3 linked regions of the Arabidopsis thaliana genome follow. The protein of the gene in region 1 interacts with the protein of each later gene in a pairwise test. Each region holds a gene or a part of one and is shown in the gene's direction. Other genes may lie near its edges.

Region 1 (8,453 bases):
TCTTAAGCATTAACATTACTCAATGAAGATTATGAAAGCAATGAAGAAGCTCACGTTCTGGTCAAGAAAGAAGAGGAAACGTAAGCAAGCTTGCCCATCTCAGCCTCACCATTGCTCTTGTGAGTACTCTTCCACGGCAGTAGCGGTGTTGGTTGAGCCCACAGCGCCTCCTCTTCCGTATTGGTTCGATGAGACTCGGAGTCTTTGTCCCCCAGAGACATCATCATTTCCTTGGACTACTCATCACTTACCTCACCAACAAGAAGAAACCATCGTTGAAGCAACCCCGTTGTTGTCTCAAGTGTCTGATCTTCGCATCTACCAGTCTTATCAACAGTACATGGTGCCGAATCCAACTAGTAACGTCCACTTTGTAGAACCAGCTACAGCAAAGAGATCAGTGGGAATATTCGGTTGTGTCATCGAGTTAAGTTCGAGTCTAGTTCGTTGTTTCATACCGTAATTTGAGCAGTTTTATGGAAACCAATTTGCGAGAATAATTCAACATCTTTTAACATGTTACGTGTATCATCTTTGCATCTTCTCAATTACATAAGCATCGAGTTAAGGTCATAATCTTTTTAGAAATGTAAAATAATAAAACAGGTTGTAATACAATAATTTTTGATGGTATTTTGAAATTTTCTTTTATCTTATAACATAAGGTCGTGAAATCCACCTAATTGGTTTCTGGCGTAAATGCATTTACCCTCTAATTATAAAAACAAAGTGGATTACAGACAAACATTTCTTCTGCAATAAAATCATGAATTCACCTAATTGGTTTTCTGACGTTAAAACATTACCCAAAACAACAAAGTGGGCCTACGGACCAAATTCCAGCTATAAAATAATTAAAGTAATATTTTTAAAAAAGGACATAAAGTCCAATGCACGACCGAATGAATTCCACGTGGCAAAATACTGAGTTAACTTACACTTCTTCACTTGCACTTTCCACATCACACACGCCTCACTTACCCTAAAACCACAGGAACACTCCAAAACTCTTCCTCTTCCTCTTCCCTCAGAAATTTCAGCAAATCTCATCGGATTTTGACTGATCATTATGTACGGACGTGATCCATGGGGTGGTCCTCTAGAGATCAATGCGGCGGACTCCATGACAGACGACGATCGTAGTCGAAACCTACAAGACCTTGACCGTGCGACTCCTTCGCGGCCACTCGACGAAACGCAACAGAGTTGGCTTCTTGGACCAAAAGTGCTTAAGAAGAAAAAGTACGTCGATCTTGGATGTATCTTAGTCAGCCGTAAGATCTTTCTTTGGACTCTTGGAACCATTGTAGTAACTGCTCTTCTCTCTGGATTCATAACTTTGATCGTTAAAACATTGCCACACCACCACCACAAGGAACCACCACCGGATAATTACACTATCGCTCTCCGTACAGCTCTCAAGTTCTTCAATGCTCAACAATGTAAGCACTAAAACTTTGAGATTTTTTCTTCATGTCTCAATTTTGATTTCTTATGTGATGTTGATGTTGCTTTGCAGCTGGGAAACTTCCAAAGAACATTTATAATGTATCATGGAGGCATGATTCTTGTCTACAAGATGGTAAGGGAGATCCAGGACAATGCTACAAAGATTTGGTAGGAGGTTACTATGATGCTGGAGATTCTATCAAATTCAACTTCCCAATGTCTTATGCTATGACTATGTTGAGCTGGAGTGTAATCGAATACAGCGCAAAGTACCAAGCTGCTGGCGAGCTTGAACATGTTAAAGAACTCATCAAATGGGGAACTGACTACTTTCTCAAGACTTTCAATAGTAGTGCTGATAACATCTATGTTATGGTGGAACAGGTAAGAAAAAAAAAACAGAGTTTAGAAAAACTTACTTACTTCGCTGTTTCAGCTACTAACGTTTGCTTTTTCATAGGTCGGATCTGGAGTTAGCGGTAGAGGAAGTGAATTGCACAATGACCATTACTGTTGGATGCGTCCTGAGGATATTCATTATAAAAGGACTGTATCTCAATGTTACAGTAGCTGCTCTGATCTTGCTGCAGAGATGGCAGCTGCTCTGGCTTCTGCATCCATTGTATTCAAGGACAACAGATTATATTCGAAAAATCTTGTTCATGGTGCTAAGACGCTTTATAGGTTTGCAACTACTTCTAGGAATAGATACAGTCAAAATGGTAAAGAGTCTAGCAAATTTTATAACTCTAGCATGTTTGAGGATGAGCTATTATGGGGTGGTGCTTGGCTGTATTATGCTACTGGAAATGTAACTTATCTAGAACGAGTTACCAGTCACCACATGGCTGAGAAAGCTGGTGCCTTCGGGAATAGTCCTTATTATGGCGTATTTAGCTGGGACAACAAGCTTCCAGGGGCTCAGGTTAGTTACTCTATGAGACATTCTTTGTTCTGTTTTTGGAATTTGTAGTCAATGCTTAGTTTCTGGATTTATGTGGTCTTTTGAAGTTGCTGTTAACACGGATGAGGCTGTTTCTGAGCCCTGGATATCCATATGAAGACATGTTAAGCGAATTTCATAACCAAACAGGCAGAGTTATGTGCTCTTACTTGCCTTATTACAAGAAATTTAACAGAACCAATGGTGAGTTGTCTGTGAATTTGAGGATTTGCACACGTTTTGAAAACGTGATCAAGAAAATAATCTCGGTATCATCTCTGCAGGAGGTTTGATTCAGTTGAACCATGGAGCTCCACAGCCTCTTCAATATGTTGCAAATGCGGCTTTCTTAGCGGCACTATTCAGTGATTATCTAGAGGCTGCTGATACTCCCGGATGGTACTGTGGTCCTAACTTCTATACTACTGAATTCCTACGCAACTTTTCAAGATCGCAGGTATGATTCACAAATGAAGGAAAACAAACAAGATTTTGAAGGAGCTTATCTGATGGAACTTTGTGTCTTTTGTTTTGGCAGATTGATTATATACTTGGTAAAAACCCTCGGAAGATGAGTTATGTTGTGGGTTATGGGCAACGGTACCCGAAACAAGTGCATCACAGAGGAGCTTCAATTCCAAAGAACATGAAAGAAACCTGCACAGGAGGATTTAAATGGAAAAAGAGCAAAAAGAATAACCCAAACGCTATTAATGGAGCAATGGTTGCTGGACCAGACAAGCATGACGGATTCCACGACATACGAACAAATTACAACTATACAGAGCCGACTCTAGCGGGAAATGCTGGTCTAGTCGCCGCTCTGGTGGCTTTATCAGGGGAAAAAGCGGTTGGTGGTATTGACAAAAACACTATGTTCTCTGCCGTACCTCCATTGGTTATGGCTACACCGCCGCCTCCAGCACCTTGGACACCTTGAAGAAAAATAAAACTTTTCGAATGTAATAAGTCATTTTTTTGCCTTAATAAAACGTAGCTTCAAGTCAGAAAAAGTAGTTTTCTTTAGCTTAATACAAAAAATGCGGTCTGAGAAACCAAACATTTATTGTTTTCTCTCTGGGTTTGTGAGGTATACAGTGTATTATTCTTTGTTTTCTATTTTGTAAGCAGTTGAGTGAGACCGAAGAAAGGTTTTGTGCTTTAGTAATAGATAGATAACCCAAATGTTGTTCTTTCTCTCTATTCTTTTCCCTCGTCTTCTTCCGCGTTTATTCTCTGCCTTAAATAATAATAATATTAATTCAGAGTTGTCTCCATCTTGGAGGTGCAGAAATGGCAGAAGCAAGGTCTGGTTCTCTTGAGTATACACCCACATGGGTCGTTGCGTTTATCTGTTTCATCATTGTTCTCTTATCTCTTCTCGCTGAACGTGGTCTTCATCATCTTGGAAAGGTCCAATATCACTATCTCTGTTTGTAGTAATCTTGAGGTTTTAAGTTAAAATCTTTTTCCAACTTTCCGTTCTCTCTGTTTCAGTGTCTGAAGCGTAGGCAACAAGATGCCTTGTTCGAAGCCTTGCAGAAACTCAAAGAAGGTATTGTACTTCTTCCCTAAACATGAAATGGTTGATTTGATTACACCTGACACCTGACCATATTGATGTCCTGACACAGAATTGATGCTTCTTGGATTTATCTCCCTGATGTTAACGGTATCTCAGGCCGCAATTCGGCATATCTGTGTCCCACCAGCTCTTGTAAACAACATGTTTCCCTGTAAGAAGCCATTGGAGGAGCATCATGCGCCTAAATCATCTCATTCGATTATCAACAATGCACGACATCTCCTTTCAACAGGAGAAAGTCCAGACCATTGTGCTGCCAAGGCAATCATTCTTTGCTGTTTTGCTAGTTTCCTTTCTCTTACTGGATCTCTTTCTATTAACCATTGATCTCTTGGTATGGCTGCAGGGGCAGGTTCCATTAGTATCTGTGGAAGCGTTGCATCAACTCCATATCTTCATCTTTGTGCTAGCGGTTTTTCACGTCATCTTCTGCGCCTCAACCATGGTTCTTGGAGGAGCAAGAGTAATACCACTTGCTTTTATAGCTTTTTGCTCAAGTTACCAAACAACATTAAACCCCTTTATTTCAAAAGCTGGCTCTGATTAATTTTATTGATGTGAAATAATATGTAGATACAACAATGGAAACATTGGGAGGATTGGTTCAAGAAACGTCCTTCTCAAAAGGGTGAGCGAGATTCCACAATAGTAATTAACAGTTACTTTGTACCTTAACACACGCAAAGTACATAACATAATGTCGCAGGCACTACAAGGCGTGGTCATCATGCTCATGCTCACGAGTTATTCAGTGCAAATCACGAGTTCTTCGAGATGCATGCTGGAGGATTTTGGAGAAGATCTGTTGTCATCAGCTGGGTGGTGAGTAATGGATATATATACTACTGCCAAAAGTATAACACATGAATCAAATTATATTCTAATGAGATTAGCCAATGTGTACTGTTTGTTGCAGAGATCATTCTTCAAGCAGTTTTATGGTTCTGTCACCAAATCAGAATACATAGCTCTGCGACAAGCATTCATCATGGTCTTACTTTTACTGTCTTATTCCAACATCTTATTTAGGTTACTAAATCTCTTATGTAACAATACTTATACTTTTCTTACCTTGCTAGAGTCATTGCCGCACAAACCCATCATTTGATTTTCACAAGTACATGCTAAGAACACTGGAAATAGATTTCAAGAAAGTTGTGAGCATAAGGTAAAATAATCAAATCAGCTCTCTAAACAGACAAACCAATTTATGGCTTAATGAGTTTTGTCTGACACCTTTTTGTTGATGTCATACATAATTATAAAGTTGGTATCTATGGCTCTTTGTCGTCGTCTTTTTGCTGCTCAATGTTGGAGGATGGAACACTTACTTCTGGTTATCTTTCTTGCCTTTGATTGTAAGTTCTTATATATGATTGGGCTCTTTTGTCACTTTTGATCTCATTTTATCTTTTTGAATAGTTAAAAAGTGTTTCAAAAATGCAGTTGTTACTAATGGTGGGTGCCAAGTTGGAATATATAATAAGTAGCTTAGCTTTGGATGTTTCCGAGAAGCGAAGCCGCGCGGAAGAAGCAGTGATCACACCTTCTGATGAACTCTTTTGGTTCCATAGGCCAGGCATTGTTCTCCAACTCATCCATTTCATTCTCTTTCAGAATTCATTTGAGATTGCTTTCTTCTTCTGGATTTTGGTACGTTTTCTTTCAACCCTCAGCTTCACTTTCTTTATCTTCCACAATTTTTGAACCATCGCATTCTTATTTACGAGTTATCCATCGTATCATCAGTTCACATACGGAATACATTCATGTATCATGGAGAAACTAGGCTACCTTATCCCAAGACTCGTCATGGGGTAATATATGAACTCTTTTAAATCTAAATATCAACCTTCAAAAGGTCTAATTAATATTTTTGGTTCGATCTTTGTTCATACAGAGTGTTAGTCCAAGTGCTTTGCAGTTACAGCACATTACCACTATATGCCCTTGTTACACAAGTAAGTGACACATATATATTCACATGTTTACACCAATTCACAACAAATTTGAATCAATTGTTGTTGTTGTTTTGCTCGGTTTTTAAAAGATGGGTAGCAAATTCAAGAAAGGGATATTCGACAATGTAGTACAGTCCACACTGGAAGGATGGTTAGAAGATACGAGGAACAGAGGCGAATCCACGAGCGAGGCTCATAGGATAGAGATGCAACCTACAACTCCTGAATCTTATAATGTCCAAAGTGAAAACCCTTAATTAAGTTGCAATTTGTGTCGTAATCCAATAAGGCTATCCCTTTATTATTTCACATTTAGAGCTCTCATCAGAGGATTGTGTGCATCTATGACATTGACGCCAACGTTCCTTTCTACTTTTGAGGCTACTAGATTAAGTTGACTTGTTACTTTTTATAAGAAAGCTTCGATGATACATGGATTGATATATAATTAAAAAGCTTCTATGTTATTTACTTTCACAACGTTTAAATTTTCAATGATGTTATCGGATGTAGCTTAATTTTTCAGAGTGGCAAATTTAAATTTTTATATAAGTACCTTTTTTTGTTGATAAGATAAATTTATCCCATCTTCTAAAGAGAAGAACTTTAGAATTGCTTTTAAATAAGATAAATTTTATATTTTAACAATAACAAATTACTCGAACTCATTGTCATTTTTCAATTTAATACTTAAAACGATTTGTAGACGTTATAGAATTTCTAAAAAGGTCGTTAACTTTGTAAGGGAGAAAAATACTAAATAACATTGCATTTGAACGTTTTCTTTTACTAATCTCTAAAATAAAATAAAAAATATGGAATGCTTTTTTTTTTTTTTGACTAAGTGAATGACTTTTTAAATTCTATTAATGGATATGTTGTAAAATACTCTTTTTGTATCACTTTAAGTGATGTTTAAAGGTTTTATACACAAATTAAGAAAACACATAATTTGTGTATCACTTTAATCCTACCTCTTTTACATATAATACAATTAAACAAATTTTAACTAATTAGATAACATACTCTAAAATATGATTGGTCTAAAAAATTTTAAAACATCTTTTTAAAAAAAGTCTCTAAAACATCACTTAAAAGTGATATTGAAGAGTTATAACGCAATGATGCATGAATAGCTGATTTTCTTGGTAACAAAATTTTGTAGTAAAGCTTTAAATTTTTTACTAAATGTTGAAGTACTTTACACTTGAATTTATAGCCGTTAACATAATCATAAACATTGTCAACTTTGTTGGAAAAAACACACTTAAAAGGATAACGACATTGCATCTGAGGTTTTTCACTAATGCTGAAATAAATACTTATTAGAGCTACTTATTATTTGATCGACAACTTTTCTAGTTTCTATAAACGTGTGTTAAGTTGATTTGACTATGTAATCTACAAATAGTTCTTTTTTTTTTTGTTTAACGAAATTTGAATTGCAATTTTTTCCAATTACCAGCATAGCATTATGGTCAGTTGAATCTAAATTAACTGATAATTTCCCTAAAAACTCAAATAGTTCTGCAAGTAAGAAAAGAATCAGAGATTTGACAAAAATAGTGCACTAAATATATATTATCCTAGAAATAAATAAACAGAAAAGGACATTCACATGATTCAACTTCCATCAAGATCCACAACGTTCCTCTCTCGTCTTTATCTCCCCTCCCTCTATTTCCTCCAATCAAAAAGAAAGATAAAGCAAAAGCTTTTCAAAAAGAAAAGAATAAAAAAGTGCAGTGCGGGCCCACTCTGTCGTTGACTAATCTGGATAGTGGTCACACACAGACAGTTCCCCTCAAACTCGAGAAACTAAAGAGTTTTGTCATGATTCATCGTCGTCGTCTCGAGAACCAAAGCATGGTTGTGGTCTCCTTCGTACGTCACGATTAGCATCATCGCATCATCTAGTGCACGCTCCACATGCTTACGCGCCGGACAACCTCTTACACTGCTGCACTTGTAATATCCCCTGTCATAACCATTACACCGAGTCCTCCCCAGTTAGTTCGAGTTCTTATTAATTAATGAGAAAAGAAATAGTCAACTTAACTCTCGGCTTTCTATTTCAAATTTATTCTATAGGAAACAACAAGTCAAAAAGAGCGTGAAACTGAACCCACTACTGTACTACTAGACAACATGTTTGGTACAACCGATATAGAAAAAAACAATATTGACAATCTCTCTGGTACTAATATTGACAATACACAAGTTGCTTAATTTTCTAGCCAATATTTGATTTTTGGTGTTGAATCTAGTGAGTGATTGTGATGTATGTGTAGAGTATATATATCGATGGTAAAAAATGTAAAAAATAATTACCGAGGATGAGGAGAGCCTTTGATTGGTTTTTGACCATATTTTCTCCATGAAAACTCATCTGATGGTATATCAGCCATTTTGCTACTTACTGCTGGAACTCTAATCACTCTTTTTACTCTTGATTTCCTGATTTTTTTACACAAATTATAATTAACGTTTTATTAATCAAATCTCAAGATTTAGA
Region 2 (7,145 bases), about 12 Mb from region 1:
GGGAAGTCAAGAATGCAAGGATGGTTCCTTCTTTCTCTGTTTTATGTATTTCCACTGCCATCTTAACAACATCACCAGCATATGAAGCAATGCGGCCAACAACAGAATTCTCTTCTGTGCCACTAGGGGAATATACAATCTCCACCGGAAAGTTCCTCCCATTGACATGAAGAATACCACAATCGAACAAATACTGTGAAAGTTGGTTGGCGTCAGCCGTGGCAGACATGATAACAAGCCTCAGGTCAATCCTTCTGGATAGCAACTTTCTAAGCAATGCCAAAAGAAGGTCCGTGTTTAAGCTTCTTTCATGAGCTTCGTCAATAATAACACATGAAATGCCAGACAAACTCCGATCTTTCATGTAGTGCTGAAGCAGACAATTATCCGTCATGTATACAACTTTGGAACTAATCTCCTCAGTAGACGAAAAAGTTGGAGTACAAGAAACAGTATTTTCCTCATAACAACCACTGCTTTCTTCTCTGACCCGATCAGTCAATGTCATGGCAGCAATCTTCCGTGGTTGTGTACAAACAATCGACTCACTAGCAGCAACTCCGGAATCAGCAAGGAACTGAACTAACTGAGTGCTCTTCCCTGAACCAGTTTCTCCAATCAACACCATTATCTACAAACACAATTAAAATCAATTCAAAATGACCAAACACAGACTCATTTATAAAACTGAACCTTAGCAGACAATATGAACTAGTACAACAAGACAACAGCATAACTCGAATATCTGTACTCAAGTGATTCAAAACTAGCTTGGACCCAAAGAGCACTTGTCAACTTGGAGATTCTTAAAGATACCTGTTCACAATGAATTTTCTTCAAAATCTGCCGCCGGTAGGCATAGATAGGCAGTCCATCCTCTAGCCTTCGACACTCTCTAAGAATCAAATAATGAATACGTCTCCAATCATAGGCCCCTTCCAAAGAAAACACGGCCACGTCTTCGTCATCTTCATCATCTACATCAAACTCATACCCGTCTTGTCCTATGAGATATCGCAAAATGCTCTTCATGGCATTATTGAATTCGTCAAGCCGATTCACAACCAAATCTCTCTCCGCTTCAAGAGCCTTCTTTTTCTCAAAAACCTCAAATTTCAGACCCCTTTTAGACGAAAAGGACGCAACTTGACGAGACTTGTCATCAATCTCCATTCTCACCTTCTTGACCCCTTGTCCATTTTCCATAAGCGAAAGAACATGAGACGAGAAAAGATCACGAAGCCTGTCTTTAAGCTCGTCCATGTCAGACGGAACAACAACATTAGGAATCAGCTCAGGAACAAAATCATGTCTCCCTTGAAGACGATAATCCCAAAGAGCCACAACGGCAGAACGCGCATCGACCCACTGACGAAAACTGAAGCTTGCAGCGATACAACCAAATTGAGGCACGTGAACTGATTCCTCCGGAATTTCGCAAAGCAAAGCGATACTCTCGATCTCTTGCTTCTTAGACAGCTTTGTGTCACTGTTAGCGGCGGCGGGGTGAAGCAGCTGAACGATGAAATTAGGCCTAGCCCGCGTGACTGGAGGAGAGAATCCCGACGACGGAGCACGATCACGTCTGTAATTTGGCGGGAAATTAGTGTTATGGTACTGAGAGTGTTGCTGGTTCCAAGTAGTACAGTGGTTGAGCGGCGGAGAAGATTGTGCAGAGCGAGAGTTATAACGGTTCGTTGAGGATGAGGGAAACGACTGCTGACGACGATCAGTCGTCGATCTCCCACCGTCTGAAGGAGGAAAAGAGTTCCTCATGATGAGATGATGCCAGTTTTTTTTCTTGTTAAGAATGAGAGAGCGAAAGAGAAAGAGTCAGAAGTTGAAAAGAGTCACAGAAGAGTCAGAGAGTTATATCAATCAATATTAAAACCCTATTAAAATTTATTTAACTTTTCGTCTACTCTTTCCTTTTTCTTTAACCTAATTTAATTTTCTTCTAATCAATATTAAAACCCATTTTGTTACTATCAATTCTTTAATTATTGGTTCGACCTATAGAAACATCCAGAAATCCAAATTTGAGGATAAAAGTGTTAAAGTAACATTTCTTAGTATTTCAATTTTATGTTTTTACCACATTTTAAAATTTAAGTTAGAAATAGTGTATCTACCAATGATATTGCCATATACGTATTAAAATGTACATATCATCAAAAGTAAATATGAAATCTTAAAGGTATTAAATAGTTAACTCATATTCTTGTAAAGTTTAATATTTGTATACCATTTAGATTTTATTCAAAGCATTGAATTTTATTAATAATTAGTTAGTAGTTTCAAAAACTATTTTAAAATCCCTACAAAAAAAAAACTATTTTCAAATCCCTACAAAAAAAAATACTATTTCAAAATAAAAGAAAATAGAAAATATTGAAAGCAGAAAATATAGAAAGGTGTTAACAAAATTATATAAAAGAAAAAACAAACAGAAAGTGTTACATGTTTTATATAAAAAACAATTTGGTTAAAAATTTCAATAACCTCATATCATTTTTTCTCATCTGCTTAATTAATGATATTCAAATGAGTTATTTTCAAAAAATATTGCTTATATAAGTGATGATATGATGCGGTTCGCTACAAATTTTTCGTGCCAATAAAAATTTCATATATTTTTCTACATTTTTTGTCAACATCATATATTATTATTTCCTAATTTTATTAGAACTCTCGTCTTTAAAAAGTTTTAAAAGCGTCATTTATCGTTCTTTTATCTACAAAAAAAAACAAGATTTCATGAGTCAGACAAGACAAAAGCCATAAACAACACAAAAGTCCTGCAAGATTGCTCACTTGGGCGGTTGGGCCTATATGAAAATTTACTATCTCAAAATTTAACTAAGAGCCCATAAAAACTGTAAGATCTTTGCTTTAAATCACATTGTCTTCATAGATTTTGTGATTCATGGTAGATTTGTGAAGATCTTTGGTCATCTTTTTGTTTACATTTGGCTTATTGAGTGTAGAGTGTGAACAATCTGCTATGAAGTTGGTAAAATTCTTTGGATCCAAACCTTTAAATCGTAGCATATTTACTATTTCACACTGCTAGGATCTGTTTATAGCTGATGCATTACTGGAATCTATGATGTTTACTGTGTTGGTCTGATATATAACAAGTTCTGAATTTTAAAATCAAATTCAATATCGAATTGGGCTTTTAATTAAGGTTAGGCCCATCAAATGTTTTTGACTCTTTAATAATTCCCTCTCTTTTGTCTTTTATTGTAAAATGCACACAATTTCGAAGAAACTGCCAATGGAGTCTCCATTTTCCAGCGCCATGCCAAGCTTGACTCTACGATGATAGCTTATTTGACTGCTTCAAAAAAAAACTTCAGAGAATTAATTTCGAGAATTTTCCCAATTTCAGATCATCGGAAAATTCTTACTATAATCTTTCTTATATCGCTTCTCTCAGTTACTTCAACGTTCTGGTCAGTTTCGGATATAAATGTTTTAATTTCTTAGTTTCCGTTTCTTCTTCTTCTTCTTTTTTTTTTTTTTCTGTTACTGTAAACTTGGGGATAACGAATTAAAGCGATCAAATCGATGTTCTTATGATTCAGGATCCGTTATAGCAAAAAAAGCTTGACTCATGGCTTTTGGCCGCAACAATCGTGTAAGGTTGTTGTTTGCTTGCTTTCTTTAATCTCTGTCTTTTTTTTTTTTTAGAATGAATTTACTGAGAAACTATGGATATGAATGATTCTCAGAAAAAATATTCTTTTTTGTTGATGATTTTTTGTTTAGGTTCAGAGATTGGATTTCAGAGGGAACAGAGTATGGTTACGGAAGAAATAAAGCTAGACCATCTCTAAACACAGTTTTGAAGAATGTTCGTAGAGGACTTAAGAAACCTTTAAGTTTTGGTTCACATAATAAGAAGAGAGATTCTAATTCTAGTACCACTACACAGAAGAATATTATAAACCCACAAGGATCTTTTTTACAGAACTGGAACAAAATCTTTCTTTTTGCTTCAGTGATTGCTTTGGCTATTGATCCATTGTTTTTCTATATTCCTATTGTTGATGGAGAAAGACACTGTCTTAATTTGCATCGTAACTTGGAGATAGCAGCTAGTGTGCTTCGCACGTTTATAGATGCTTTCTACATCATTCACATTGTGTTTCAGTTTAGAACTGCTTATATCTCTCCTTCTTCTCGTGTTTTCGGAAGAGGCGAGTTGGTTGATGATCCTAAAGCTATAGCCATCAAGTACCTCTCCTCCTACTTCATCATCGATCTTCTTTCTATCCTTCCACTCCCACAGGTAACCTTTAGTTCCTAATGGTTTTATAGTTCCTTCTTGATGGTTCTTTAATATTCTGTTGTATCTGCTGCAGCTTGTAGTCTTAGCTGTCATCCCCAATGTCAACAAGCCGGTCTCTTTGATCACTAAGGACTATTTGATAACTGTCATATTTACTCAATACATTCCAAGGATTCTTCGTATCTATCCACTTTACACTGAAGTTACAAGAACATCTGGCATAGTTACTGAAACCGCTTGGGCTGGAGCTGCTTGGAACCTATCTCTCTATATGTTAGCCAGTCATGTGTTTGGAGCCTTATGGTACTTAATATCAGTAGAACGAGAAGACAGATGCTGGCGTGAAGCTTGTGAGAAGATACCAGAAGTGTGTAACTTTAGATTTCTCTACTGCGATGGAAACAGTAGTGTTAGAAACGATTTCCTGACTACCTCGTGCCCGTTTATCAACCCTGATGATATAACAAATTCAACTGTCTTCAACTTTGGTATCTTTACTGATGCTTTAAAGAGTGGGATTGTTGAATCAGATGATTTCTGGAAGAAGTTCTTCTACTGCTTCTGGTGGGGTTTGCGTAATTTAAGGTTTGTAACACTCTCTCTATCTAGTTATTAGTAATTTAGGATTCATGTGACACACTTGATGGCTGGCTAAGATATGTTGAGCATGAAACACTAATCTGATCACTTGCTGTTTCTCACTCGCTGCAGTGCATTGGGACAAAATCTCAATACAAGCAAATTCGTTGGGGAAATCATATTTGCTGTATCAATTTGTATATCTGGACTAGTCTTATTCGCACTACTTATCGGCAATATGCAGGTATATATTCATTTCACTGCCTTTTTTCCATCACTTACTTGATCCCCAAGGAAGATAAAACACTACTGATGTTTCCACTTTCCATAACAGAAATACTTGGAATCAACTACAGTGAGGGAAGAGGAGATGAGAGTGAGAAAAAGAGATGCAGAGCAATGGATGTCTCATCGAATGTTACCCGATGACTTGAGGAAACGTATCAGAAGGTATGAGCAGTACAAATGGCAGGAAACTAGAGGAGTAGAAGAAGAAAACCTTCTGCGTAATCTCCCTAAAGACCTCAGGAGAGACATCAAACGCCATTTCTGCCTCGATCTTCTCAAGAAAGTAAGTGCTTCTAGTTCCACCTTATCTCTTTGATCCTCAAATTTGACATTTCATTCAAATAATCATTGATCGAATCAAATATATATAGGTACCTCTGTTCGAGATAATGGATGAGCAATTGCTAGATGCCGTGTGTGACAAGCTAAAACCAGTGCTCTACACCGAGAACAGCTATGCAATTCGAGAAGGAGATCCAGTGGAAGAGATGTTGTTTGTCATGAGAGGAAAACTGATGAGCGCCACCACAAACGGTGGCCGGACCGGCTTCTTTAACGCCGTATACCTAAAACCTAGTGACTTTTGCGGCGAAGATCTTCTCACATGGGCATTAGATCCTCAATCTTCGTCTCATTTTCCGATATCGACTAGAACAGTTCAAGCTTTAACCGAAGTAGAAGCCTTTGCTCTTGCAGCAGATGATCTCAAGCTTGTTGCTTCACAGTTCAGACGACTACATAGCAAACAGCTTCAACATACTTTCAGGTTTGTTTGGTCTCTTTTGACTGATCTCTCTGCTTCTCCAATCTCCGGTTCTGTTTGGTTTAATTCGGTTTAACTGTCAGGTTTTATTCGGTTCAATGGAGAACTTGGGGTGCGTCTTTCATACAAGCGGCGTGGCGGAGACATTGCCGGAGGAAACTAGCTAGATCATTAACCGAAGAAGAAGATCGATTCCGAAACGCGATCACAAAACGCGAACGCAATGCGGCGTCTTCGTCTAGCCTGGTTGCAACGTTATACGCGTCGCGGTTTGCTTCAAACGCGCTTCGCAATCTGCGTACAAACAACCTACCTTTGCTACCTCCTAAACCCTCCGAGCCTGATTTCAGTCTCCGAAACCCTTAAAATATCTCTTACACATGTCCACTTACCACTTGTATATAATATTGTGTCAACGACATTAAAGCTTAAACTAATTACAAAAATTTAGTGACCCTATTTTATAGGCACGATGCTCCAATGGTCACTTTTAAAATAGAGTTTCCTCAAAAATAGGAAAAAAATAGAGACTAAATGTAGAGATCTTTATTTATAGAGATGATATCTCCTCTATTTTAAAGAAAATTCTATTTTACATGTGACCATTGGAGCAGCCTCTAAAATAGAGTCATATCTATAAATAAAGGAAAATATAGAGATCACTATTGAAGATACCTTTATAAAAATAAAACATGGTTATATATATGAATTTGATAACTTTAGGTAACCTTAATTTTTTTTTTAGTTTTAAAAGCTTTGGAGTAAATATAACAAATTTATTTAAAAATTGTTTTTTCATGTGTGTGTTTTGACCAAAAAAAAACAAATAACATGTTTAACCAATAACATACAATTTATCATGTTATTTTATCTAAGAGTAATTTTTCCATATATATATATTTATTATAAGATTCAATTGTAGATAATTTTTACTTAATAATACATCATTTACCATATCATATATAGATATTAGTTTGGTCAAATTGTACAAAAAAAATCGATTTCTCCTGACCGACATAGATTCAGACAATATAAAGCCCAGTCATAAACCCAAAAGTGTGGATAAGATAATAATCTTAGCCCAACAAGCAGCGAGAGAGAGAGAGACTTATTATTAGGGCTCCGTCAAATTTCCCCAATTTCTCTCTGATTCCTCTCTAGAAATCGAACTTCTTCTTCTTCGTCCAAGCTTTTGAATCGAAAATCGATGGCGGATCA
Region 3 (8,042 bases), on another chromosome or scaffold:
TGCCTAGTGGCTCCAAGACCAACATTGTGAGGGAAAATAGTAGCGTTATAGACATTGTTATGCCCGTGAACGGCATCAATGCCATATATCATAGGAATTCCCAAACGACTAACTAGAGCCCCCTTTTGGTACTCATTTATCATATCAACCCAATTCTGAGCACTTGCCTCAGGAAGTGGAGCGCTCCCACCACCACTCAATACACTGCCTGTACAGAACAAACAGACAACTTCAATTTTCAAGTTTCACAAATACAGATACTCAATACCAAGTCAAGTTACGCAGCTTATCTAGTTCTTTATTAACAAGATGATGAGAAACTGAAGTTCAATGAAAGCAAAAACTGAATGATATCCTCATTTCACCTAACAACACCAGTAGCACCGACCAGTTTTCTAAGGAAACCATACAAGATGCCCAAAATAAGGTTTAAATGAACCAATTAAACTAGCCAAGCAAGTAAGTAATCAGATTTCTGGAAATCTCCAAGAAAGATTGTTCTTTTACATACCGATGAAGTAATCTCTCATAATGTTGACAGTGGCAACACTTCTATCAATCTGCACCATCTGGCCAATCTTCTCTTCCAAAGTCATTCTACCAAACAAATCCGCAACTCGATCTGACACCGTCTGTTTCGGGTCCTTGTACAACAGATACTCTCCATCCCCATAACAACAAACCCACATACACATCCATAGAAGAACCCCAACGATTCTTACTGAATCTCTGCTCATCTTCGTAACAGGGGAAACTCTGGCAAAACAACAAAGACGGAAGAAACTCAAGATAAGAAAGACTTGTCACTTGTCAGCTTAAAAAAGAAACCCCCAAAATTGTGAAACCTTGGTGCTTATCAGCAGCCAACCAAGAAAACAAAAAAGCAACTTCGTTATTCATCAGTGACAAGAAAGAAGAAAAAAAGCAAAAATAAAAGCAAGCTTTTTAAGATTTACTGTTCGAATTTCAACAAAAGATTGAATAAGCACACGAATCCGTAAGAAGTACTTTCTCATTTTCTTATTTTCCAAACGAATCATTATAAAGCTACTAGCCTCATACAAGAAACCAAGAACCAAGCTAGCCAAGAAAACAAGAAATAAGAAGAAGCATACATTGGGGGTAAGGAAAAAGGCAAGATTCAACAGTAGAGAATGGAGGAAGAAAGAAGAACTTACATGTGAGAGTTAGGCAGAGCAAGACCAGAAAATATCTGATTCTTCTTCGCTGAGAATTTTTATATGAGAAAATAAAGAGTAGTTAATAAACGCTTTTAAGCAGATTTGAGAAAGAGAGAGAGAGTGTTAAAAGACGTTGATGCGGTTTTGTGTTGTTTTTATTGGGACGTGGGGTTGGCTCACGTTTTTCCACAAAACATCTGTACCAGTCTACACTGCATAATGATGCATAACGACGAACAAAGCGGCGTCGTTTTAGTTTTTTAAAAAAGTTTCTTTCTTTTTTGACTTCTTACTTTTTTTTATTACTGAAAAGTATCGTACTTGCTTTAACGTACCTTGGACACGTGTCAGTAGGCGGGAGAATCGGATTCCTCGACTCTTATCTCACGCTAAACCGGCGATTCTCCGCCTCCCGCCGCCGCTTCGTCTATCTCTATGGCCTCCGTTGCGAACACTGAACTGCTCAATACGCTTCTACTGTATCTTCCTCATAAGCCTTCGCGAGGTTTCTGAGTCGCTGCTCTGTGTATCCACCGCCGTAAAAAGCTCTCCTTTTTCCTCTCCGATTCTTCTTCTGTCGACTTTGTCTCCATCCTCGGATCATGATGACGGGAATAGGAGCCGTTTGATTGAGGTTAGGGATTTAAGTGCTTGTGATTGTTGAATTGTGGAAGAAAGGAGAGATTTTTCATGTTAATGAAACACTAGTACATATAGACGTTGTGAAGTTTGTTAGCCGTGATTCTATTGGATATTATTTCTGTACTAAGAGAGCATTAGCTAAAATTTCTGACAAGCTTAACTAATTCCAATTGTGTGAATCATTTGCATCATTGCTGATATTTCCTAACTAATATTATGAAAGGTTGAGGCTCGTAAGTTTTTTGCTTATGAACACATTTTTTCAAGGTAAGTTTCTCAATCTTCATGTTGTTGAAACATATGATTCCTAGAGTATCTCTACTCGTACCCCTCTCATAAATCATTGTGTTTAAAGCCGAGCATCTGCATGATATGTAAGGATCTCTTGCGGTTCTCTTCTTGAGTCTCCAAACTCCAGTTGAGATCCCTGGTGTTAGCAATATGGATTTTCTCGAGAATATAGTATTTGATGCTAGGAACAGAAAACCTGGTCAGCCAAAGATTGAGCCAATGTAGGTGTCTTCGCGCATTAGTCAGTTAGATGGTTTTGGACTGTTACTTAGTTGATGGTGCACACTCATATATCTGATATAGAATTGTGTTCATGCAGTTGGAGGATTTAGAGGTGGCGAAAAGAAGCATAAAGAGATTCTTCCATTTCCAAGCGCAACACATGATAAGAAAGGTGAGGGTTTTCTTACCTTATTTTCCGGTCAATGGAAGACACACACTTGAATACCGTCATTTCCCTTTCCCACACTTGTTCTCTATTAGTGTCATAAACAGAATGCCGAATAGGTTACTTTTCATTTTATAGTCATGACTAGGAAATTTTGTTCCTCATAGCAAGATATGGAAACAGTTGTCAATTTAATTTCGTCATAGTGAAAAGGATCAATCAAGGAACAAGTACGGAAAAGATTGAGAATCTCTGTAATAAGGATCATCTGTTTTTGGAGGTCCTTGGATGTTTACTTGATCAGGACGTGGCAGAGGCAATGAACAGACTTTTGTCACCAAAAAACGCTGTTGTGATGATTGATAATCTACTATCAGAACATACTGCACTACATCAAACCAAGTCTCATACACATCATAGTGAGCGTCTTTGCCACAAATCATATCTTCTTAAATACTGATTCAAACCACCATCTCTTGATAACAATAGTGAGCTTCGTTTTTGTTTTAGGCAAGCATTCTTTCCATATCAAATCAATAACAGAGTGTCCAGAGATTCATACCGTTCTATTGCAGTAGGGACATCTCATTGGCTTATCTACTGGAAAAAGGAAGGGTGCTTGAGTGTTCCGTTAGGACCAGCAAAAACAATGGAAAGTGGTGATCATGATGTTTAGAACACCAAACTCGCCGTCTCTACAATATTAGTTCTGGTCTAGGTTTTGATCTTCAATAATAGCTGTGGTCGGAAGGAGTAATTAGGGTAAAACATAAGGGCGAAGACAAGAATGTGTAGAGCATGTGATTTGTTCAAGCTTTAACATGTGGATGTCTTATTTTTAATGACTGCTCTTTAATATGTGGGTTTTGTTTGCGCATTTTTCACTTGCGGGTTATATTTTTCAAAAGTAGTAAATGATGGGACCATTATAAAAAGGATGTTATTAGGACTCCAGAAAGGAAATTGATTTTATGGAAAATCACCTTTTTACCTCAAAGTTTTAATATATTACTAATTAAGTACCCTTACATAAGAAGCTGCGTTGCCAAGATTGAAGAGGGTGGTGGACTTTGTAATCAAAGATTAATTAAAAAGAGAGTTAAGACAAATCTCAGCGGAAAACTCGGCGGTGATAGATAATCAAAACAAAAGAAACGCGTTTTTCAAACTGGTTCAATCTTCTTCTTCGTCTTTCTTCATCGTCTTCTTCTCTATACAGACCTTGACTCTCTCATTAAATTAACAAATGTCCCTACGGTTTATGCAAGTGTAGTGCTATTAAACTATCCCTTTTATTTTCCCACCCAACTCAATTTATTTTCTCATTCTTTCTCTTTACTCTTCTTCAGATCTCTCTGTTTCTTTCTTTGTTGTTGTTATCTGGGGATGCTTTCTACTCTCTGTTTGGTTTCCTTCATTGTGACTTTCTATTTTCTGGGTTTGTTTCAAGTCATGATTTTTCCGATACCCTTTTGATTTTTCTTGCTATTTCTCACCTCTGTATAAGCAAGCTCTCTGCTGTTTCTCCTCATCCAAGTTGGGTTTATCAGTTCAGCTGTGTAGAAATTCAATCGTCTGAGAAGTCCGAGGTTTGATGTCTGATGGTTTTAAGATCGAAAGGATTTGACTTTTATCAGATTAGTAATGAGATTAGATTGTTTTTGAGGTTATTGTAATCAGATCTTGATGCTATTTCTGGTGAAAGAGATTTAAGACAAGTTAGGGAATGGGTAATACTTGTGTTGGACCAAGCAGAAATGGCTTCTTGCAATCTGTTTCAGCTGCAATGTGGCGGCCAAGAGATGGAGATGATTCGGCTTCCATGAGTAATGGAGATATTGCAAGTGAAGCTGTTTCGGGAGAGCTTCGATCTCGATTATCTGATGAAGTCCAGAATAAACCTCCTGAACAGGTCACAATGCCGAAGCCAGGGACTGACGTCGAGACCAAGGACAGAGAGATTCGAACTGAAAGCAAGCCTGAAACGCTAGAGGAGATAAGCCTTGAGTCCAAACCAGAGACTAAGCAGGAGACCAAGTCAGAGACCAAGCCGGAGTCAAAACCTGATCCTCCAGCTAAACCTAAGAAGCCTAAACACATGAAGAGAGTGTCAAGTGCAGGGCTTAGGACTGAGTCAGTGTTGCAGAGGAAGACTGAAAACTTCAAGGAATTCTATTCCTTGGGAAGGAAACTCGGACAAGGGCAATTTGGGACGACTTTTTTATGTGTCGAGAAGACTACGGGGAAGGAGTTTGCCTGCAAGTCGATTGCTAAGAGGAAGCTATTGACTGATGAGGACGTTGAGGATGTGAGAAGAGAAATTCAGATAATGCATCACTTGGCTGGTCACCCTAATGTCATCTCCATCAAAGGAGCTTATGAGGATGTTGTGGCAGTGCACCTTGTAATGGAGTGTTGTGCAGGCGGCGAGCTTTTTGACAGGATCATTCAACGCGGTCACTACACAGAGAGGAAAGCGGCTGAGCTCACTAGAACCATTGTTGGGGTTGTAGAGGCTTGCCATTCTCTTGGTGTTATGCATCGAGACCTCAAGCCCGAGAATTTTCTGTTTGTCAGTAAACACGAAGATTCCCTCTTGAAGACGATTGATTTTGGACTCTCCATGTTCTTTAAACCAGGTTTGATTTCATTGTTACTCATCTTAAAAGATCCACTTCCAGATTTGGTCTTTAACGTGAATAGTGTGATCCTTGTCGAACAATTATTTCTGAACTCGATTCCCTTCCTCTTTGCAGACGATGTTTTTACAGATGTTGTTGGTAGCCCATATTATGTTGCCCCAGAAGTTCTTCGAAAGCGTTATGGCCCTGAAGCTGATGTCTGGAGTGCTGGAGTGATTGTGTACATTTTATTAAGCGGAGTTCCTCCATTCTGGGCTGGTAAGAATTGTATATATACAGATAAGAGATTTGTCACTTTTCCTAACTAGGCTCTGAACAACATCTCTAATCTTTTTGTTTCTTTGAACATTCAGAAACCGAACAAGGTATTTTCGAACAGGTCCTCCACGGTGATCTTGACTTTTCGTCCGATCCATGGCCAAGTATATCTGAAAGTGCAAAGGATTTAGTGAGGAAAATGCTTGTCAGGGATCCCAAGAAAAGGTTAACTGCCCACCAAGTATTATGTAAGTTATTTTGATCTGAAACCTTCTCTTCCAGTTAAAGCGCTGTGATTCTCTTTCTGTTAATTCCATTGAGCATAGATTTCACTACATGAATAAAGTGTGTTGTCATGTAGAGTGATCTACCATCGTTCTATCTCTTATGGAGTTGTGCTTCTTCTCAGGTCATCCATGGGTTCAAGTCGACGGTGTGGCTCCAGACAAGCCTTTGGATTCTGCTGTTCTGAGCCGTATGAAGCAGTTTTCTGCAATGAACAAGTTCAAGAAAATGGCTCTTAGAGTAAGCAGCTTTCCGATGCTAAACAAAATTTAAAACCATATAAAAGAAGTTCCTGTCATAAACATAAGATAGCTACATTTAACCCATCTTCCTCTTGTTATGTGGAAAGAAAGAGACGACGGAGATTAAGTTTCTCTCTTTATGCCTTTTTGCAGGTCATTGCTGAGAGCTTATCTGAAGAAGAAATCGCCGGCTTGAAAGAAATGTTTAATATGATAGATGCGGACAAGAGTGGTCAGATAACTTTCGAAGAACTGAAAGCAGGACTAAAACGAGTAGGGGCGAATCTCAAAGAGTCTGAAATTCTCGACTTGATGCAAGCTGTAAGTTTTAACCGGCATACCAGTTCCCTAACTAAGATTCTGAACTGATCTTGTTATCATTCAAACTTACTCTGTTGGTTGTGGTTATATACTTCTGTTTTTGCTAGATATGCAAGTAATCTGGTTTCTCTCTCATGTGTATATAATTCAGGCTGATGTGGACAACAGCGGAACAATAGATTACAAAGAGTTCATAGCTGCAACATTACATCTAAACAAAATAGAGAGAGAGGACCATTTGTTTGCAGCCTTTACATACTTTGACAAAGATGGGAGCGGCTATATCACCCCAGACGAGCTTCAACAAGCTTGTGAGGAGTTTGGTGTTGAGGATGTCCGCATAGAAGAACTGATGCGCGATGTTGATCAAGACAATGTAAGTTCCTTTACACCTTTTATCATCTCATCCTAATTATAAAATGACTTGAATACTTCTCAACAATGATCAAATTTCAATGGATTATATACATTTTACTCATAGGAATCTCACTTATATGATCCTCTTAAATCCTTGCATTATTAAAACTACACTTCACTTACCGAGTTTTCATGTCTGTTTTCTTGGGAAAACTGAGACGATTGAGTATGATTCTTGTTAAACCTAGGGGGATAGTAGAAACTCTCTTTCCTGAGAAACAGTGAAGTAAACCGAGTTTTCATGTCGGTTTTGGATTGATATATTGGTTGAATGTTGATAATGTTGAACATTTGAATTGTTGTATTGTAGGACGGGCGAATAGACTACAACGAGTTTGTGGCGATGATGCAGAAAGGAAGCATCACAGGAGGACCTGTGAAAATGGGTCTAGAGAAAAGCTTTAGCATTGCTCTTAAACTCTAGTTTCTCAGTCTATTTAAAAGTACAAAACTAAAGCCAAGAAGACAAAAGAGTTTTCTGATAATATATACCATTTTGATTATGTTGAAGACATATGCACACAGCCAAGATTCTCTCTTGCCCTCTTTTGGATTCTCTCAATCTTTTGGATGAGGTTTTGTCTTAGACTTGTTTTGGAAACTTTGTTGTATTGTGTTACTTCTTGAGCATATATAGTCTTCTAACATTACAAACCACGATTTCTTGTCTGTAAGTAAATTCAAAGAGTCAAAAAACTTGAACACGATTTGGAAATTTTGCGATAACGATCATCAAATTTTTGTGAGGGCTTTTTCTTGTAAAGCAAAAAGTTTGAGTATTTATGTGAAAATCGTTTAAAAGTTGAGGTACTTCTATGTAATTTCCCAGTTTTCTTTTTTTGAGAAATAAAATAACTTAACCGAATTTCAATTAATTTGTTGTCCGAATTATATAATTCAAGTCCTTACCGAATCTAAGCTGAAATCAAATTAAATTATAAGCAGATAATTAAATTGGTCACCGAAAATAATAGCCACCAAACCTCCTAATCCTAAACACGTAGTATTTTGAGATCTTTATTTTCCATTTACATAATTAATTTCTTTTTTATGATTGGAAAAAACGAATAAAATGATCTTTTAGCTAGTGTTTTTGGTCAACATAAATACCTAACTTACTCTTTAGAACAACAAAAAAAATGGAGGAAAAATATAAAAGTGGGTCTCACAATCAAGTTATTTCTCCAAAAATAAATAATTTAAAGCTTGCGTTTGTTGTTGACATTTAAAAATGTTTATTTTGGGGTACGACTTTTTAATTTATAAAATTATTAAATTGGTTTTATTTAAATAAACTGATTAAATTGTCTATTTCAAAACTGCGTCCCTATCCCTTTTAAATTTCCTAATTTCAGTCCACAAAACGTGATCATGA

The links.
Region 2: the proteins of MLO13 (region 1) and CNGC13 interact in a protein complementation assay, tested with the Arabidopsis thaliana proteins (one large-scale study listed by BioGRID).
Region 3: the proteins of MLO13 (region 1) and CPK1 interact in a protein complementation assay, tested with the Arabidopsis thaliana proteins (one large-scale study listed by BioGRID).

What each region holds. Positions count from the first base shown.
Region 1 is NC_003075.7:12,572,750-12,581,202, reverse strand, and holds MLO13 (Seven transmembrane MLO family protein), read left to right. Parts: upstream 1-3,619; 5' UTR 3,620-3,685; coding exon 3,686-3,805; intron 3,806-3,889; coding exon 3,890-3,947; intron 3,948-4,026; coding exon 4,027-4,238; intron 4,239-4,323; coding exon 4,324-4,440; intron 4,441-4,550; coding exon 4,551-4,605; intron 4,606-4,683; coding exon 4,684-4,799; intron 4,800-4,893; coding exon 4,894-4,968; intron 4,969-5,056; coding exon 5,057-5,145; intron 5,146-5,244; coding exon 5,245-5,335; intron 5,336-5,423; coding exon 5,424-5,630; intron 5,631-5,726; coding exon 5,727-5,794; coding exon of another isoform or gene 5,795-5,798; exon of another isoform or gene 5,799-5,877; coding exon 5,878-5,938; intron 5,939-6,027; coding exon 6,028-6,195; 3' UTR 6,196-6,484; downstream 6,485-8,453. Other genes in the region: AT4G24265 (homeobox protein), read left to right, coding at 23-463; GH9A3 (glycosyl hydrolase 9A3), read left to right, coding at 1,070-1,442, 1,520-1,833, 1,910-2,374, 2,461-2,596, 2,677-2,849, 2,931-3,332; WRKY7 (WRKY DNA-binding protein 7), read right to left, coding at 7,757-7,916, 8,270-8,395.
Region 2 is NC_003075.7:433,717-440,861, reverse strand, and holds CNGC13 (cyclic nucleotide-gated channel 13), read left to right. Parts: upstream 1-3,270; 5' UTR 3,271-3,458; exon of another isoform or gene 3,459-3,590; 5' UTR 3,591-3,619; coding exon 3,620-3,648; intron 3,649-3,774; coding exon 3,775-4,297; intron 4,298-4,370; coding exon 4,371-4,882; intron 4,883-5,008; coding exon 5,009-5,120; intron 5,121-5,210; coding exon 5,211-5,447; intron 5,448-5,535; coding exon 5,536-5,930; intron 5,931-6,010; coding exon 6,011-6,293; 3' UTR 6,294-6,645; downstream 6,646-7,145. Other genes in the region: AT4G01020 (helicase domain-containing protein / IBR domain-containing protein / zinc finger protein-like protein), read right to left, coding at 1-631, 817-1,776; AT4G01000 (Ubiquitin-like superfamily protein), read left to right, coding at 7,135-7,145. UniProt on the Arabidopsis thaliana protein: Putative cyclic nucleotide-gated ion channel.
Region 3 is NC_003076.8:1,416,064-1,424,105, reverse strand, and holds CPK1 (calcium dependent protein kinase 1), read left to right. Parts: upstream 1-3,551; 5' UTR 3,552-4,228; coding exon 4,229-5,141; intron 5,142-5,258; coding exon 5,259-5,402; intron 5,403-5,497; coding exon 5,498-5,650; intron 5,651-5,811; coding exon 5,812-5,927; intron 5,928-6,082; coding exon 6,083-6,250; intron 6,251-6,401; coding exon 6,402-6,626; intron 6,627-6,977; coding exon 6,978-7,091; 3' UTR 7,092-7,542; downstream 7,543-8,042. Other genes in the region: AT5G04885 (Glycosyl hydrolase family protein), read right to left, coding at 4-208, 512-756, 1,009-1,040. UniProt on the Arabidopsis thaliana protein: May play a role in signal transduction pathways that involve calcium as a second messenger. Phosphorylates the Ca(2+)-ATPase ACA2 resulting in the inhibition of its calcium activation.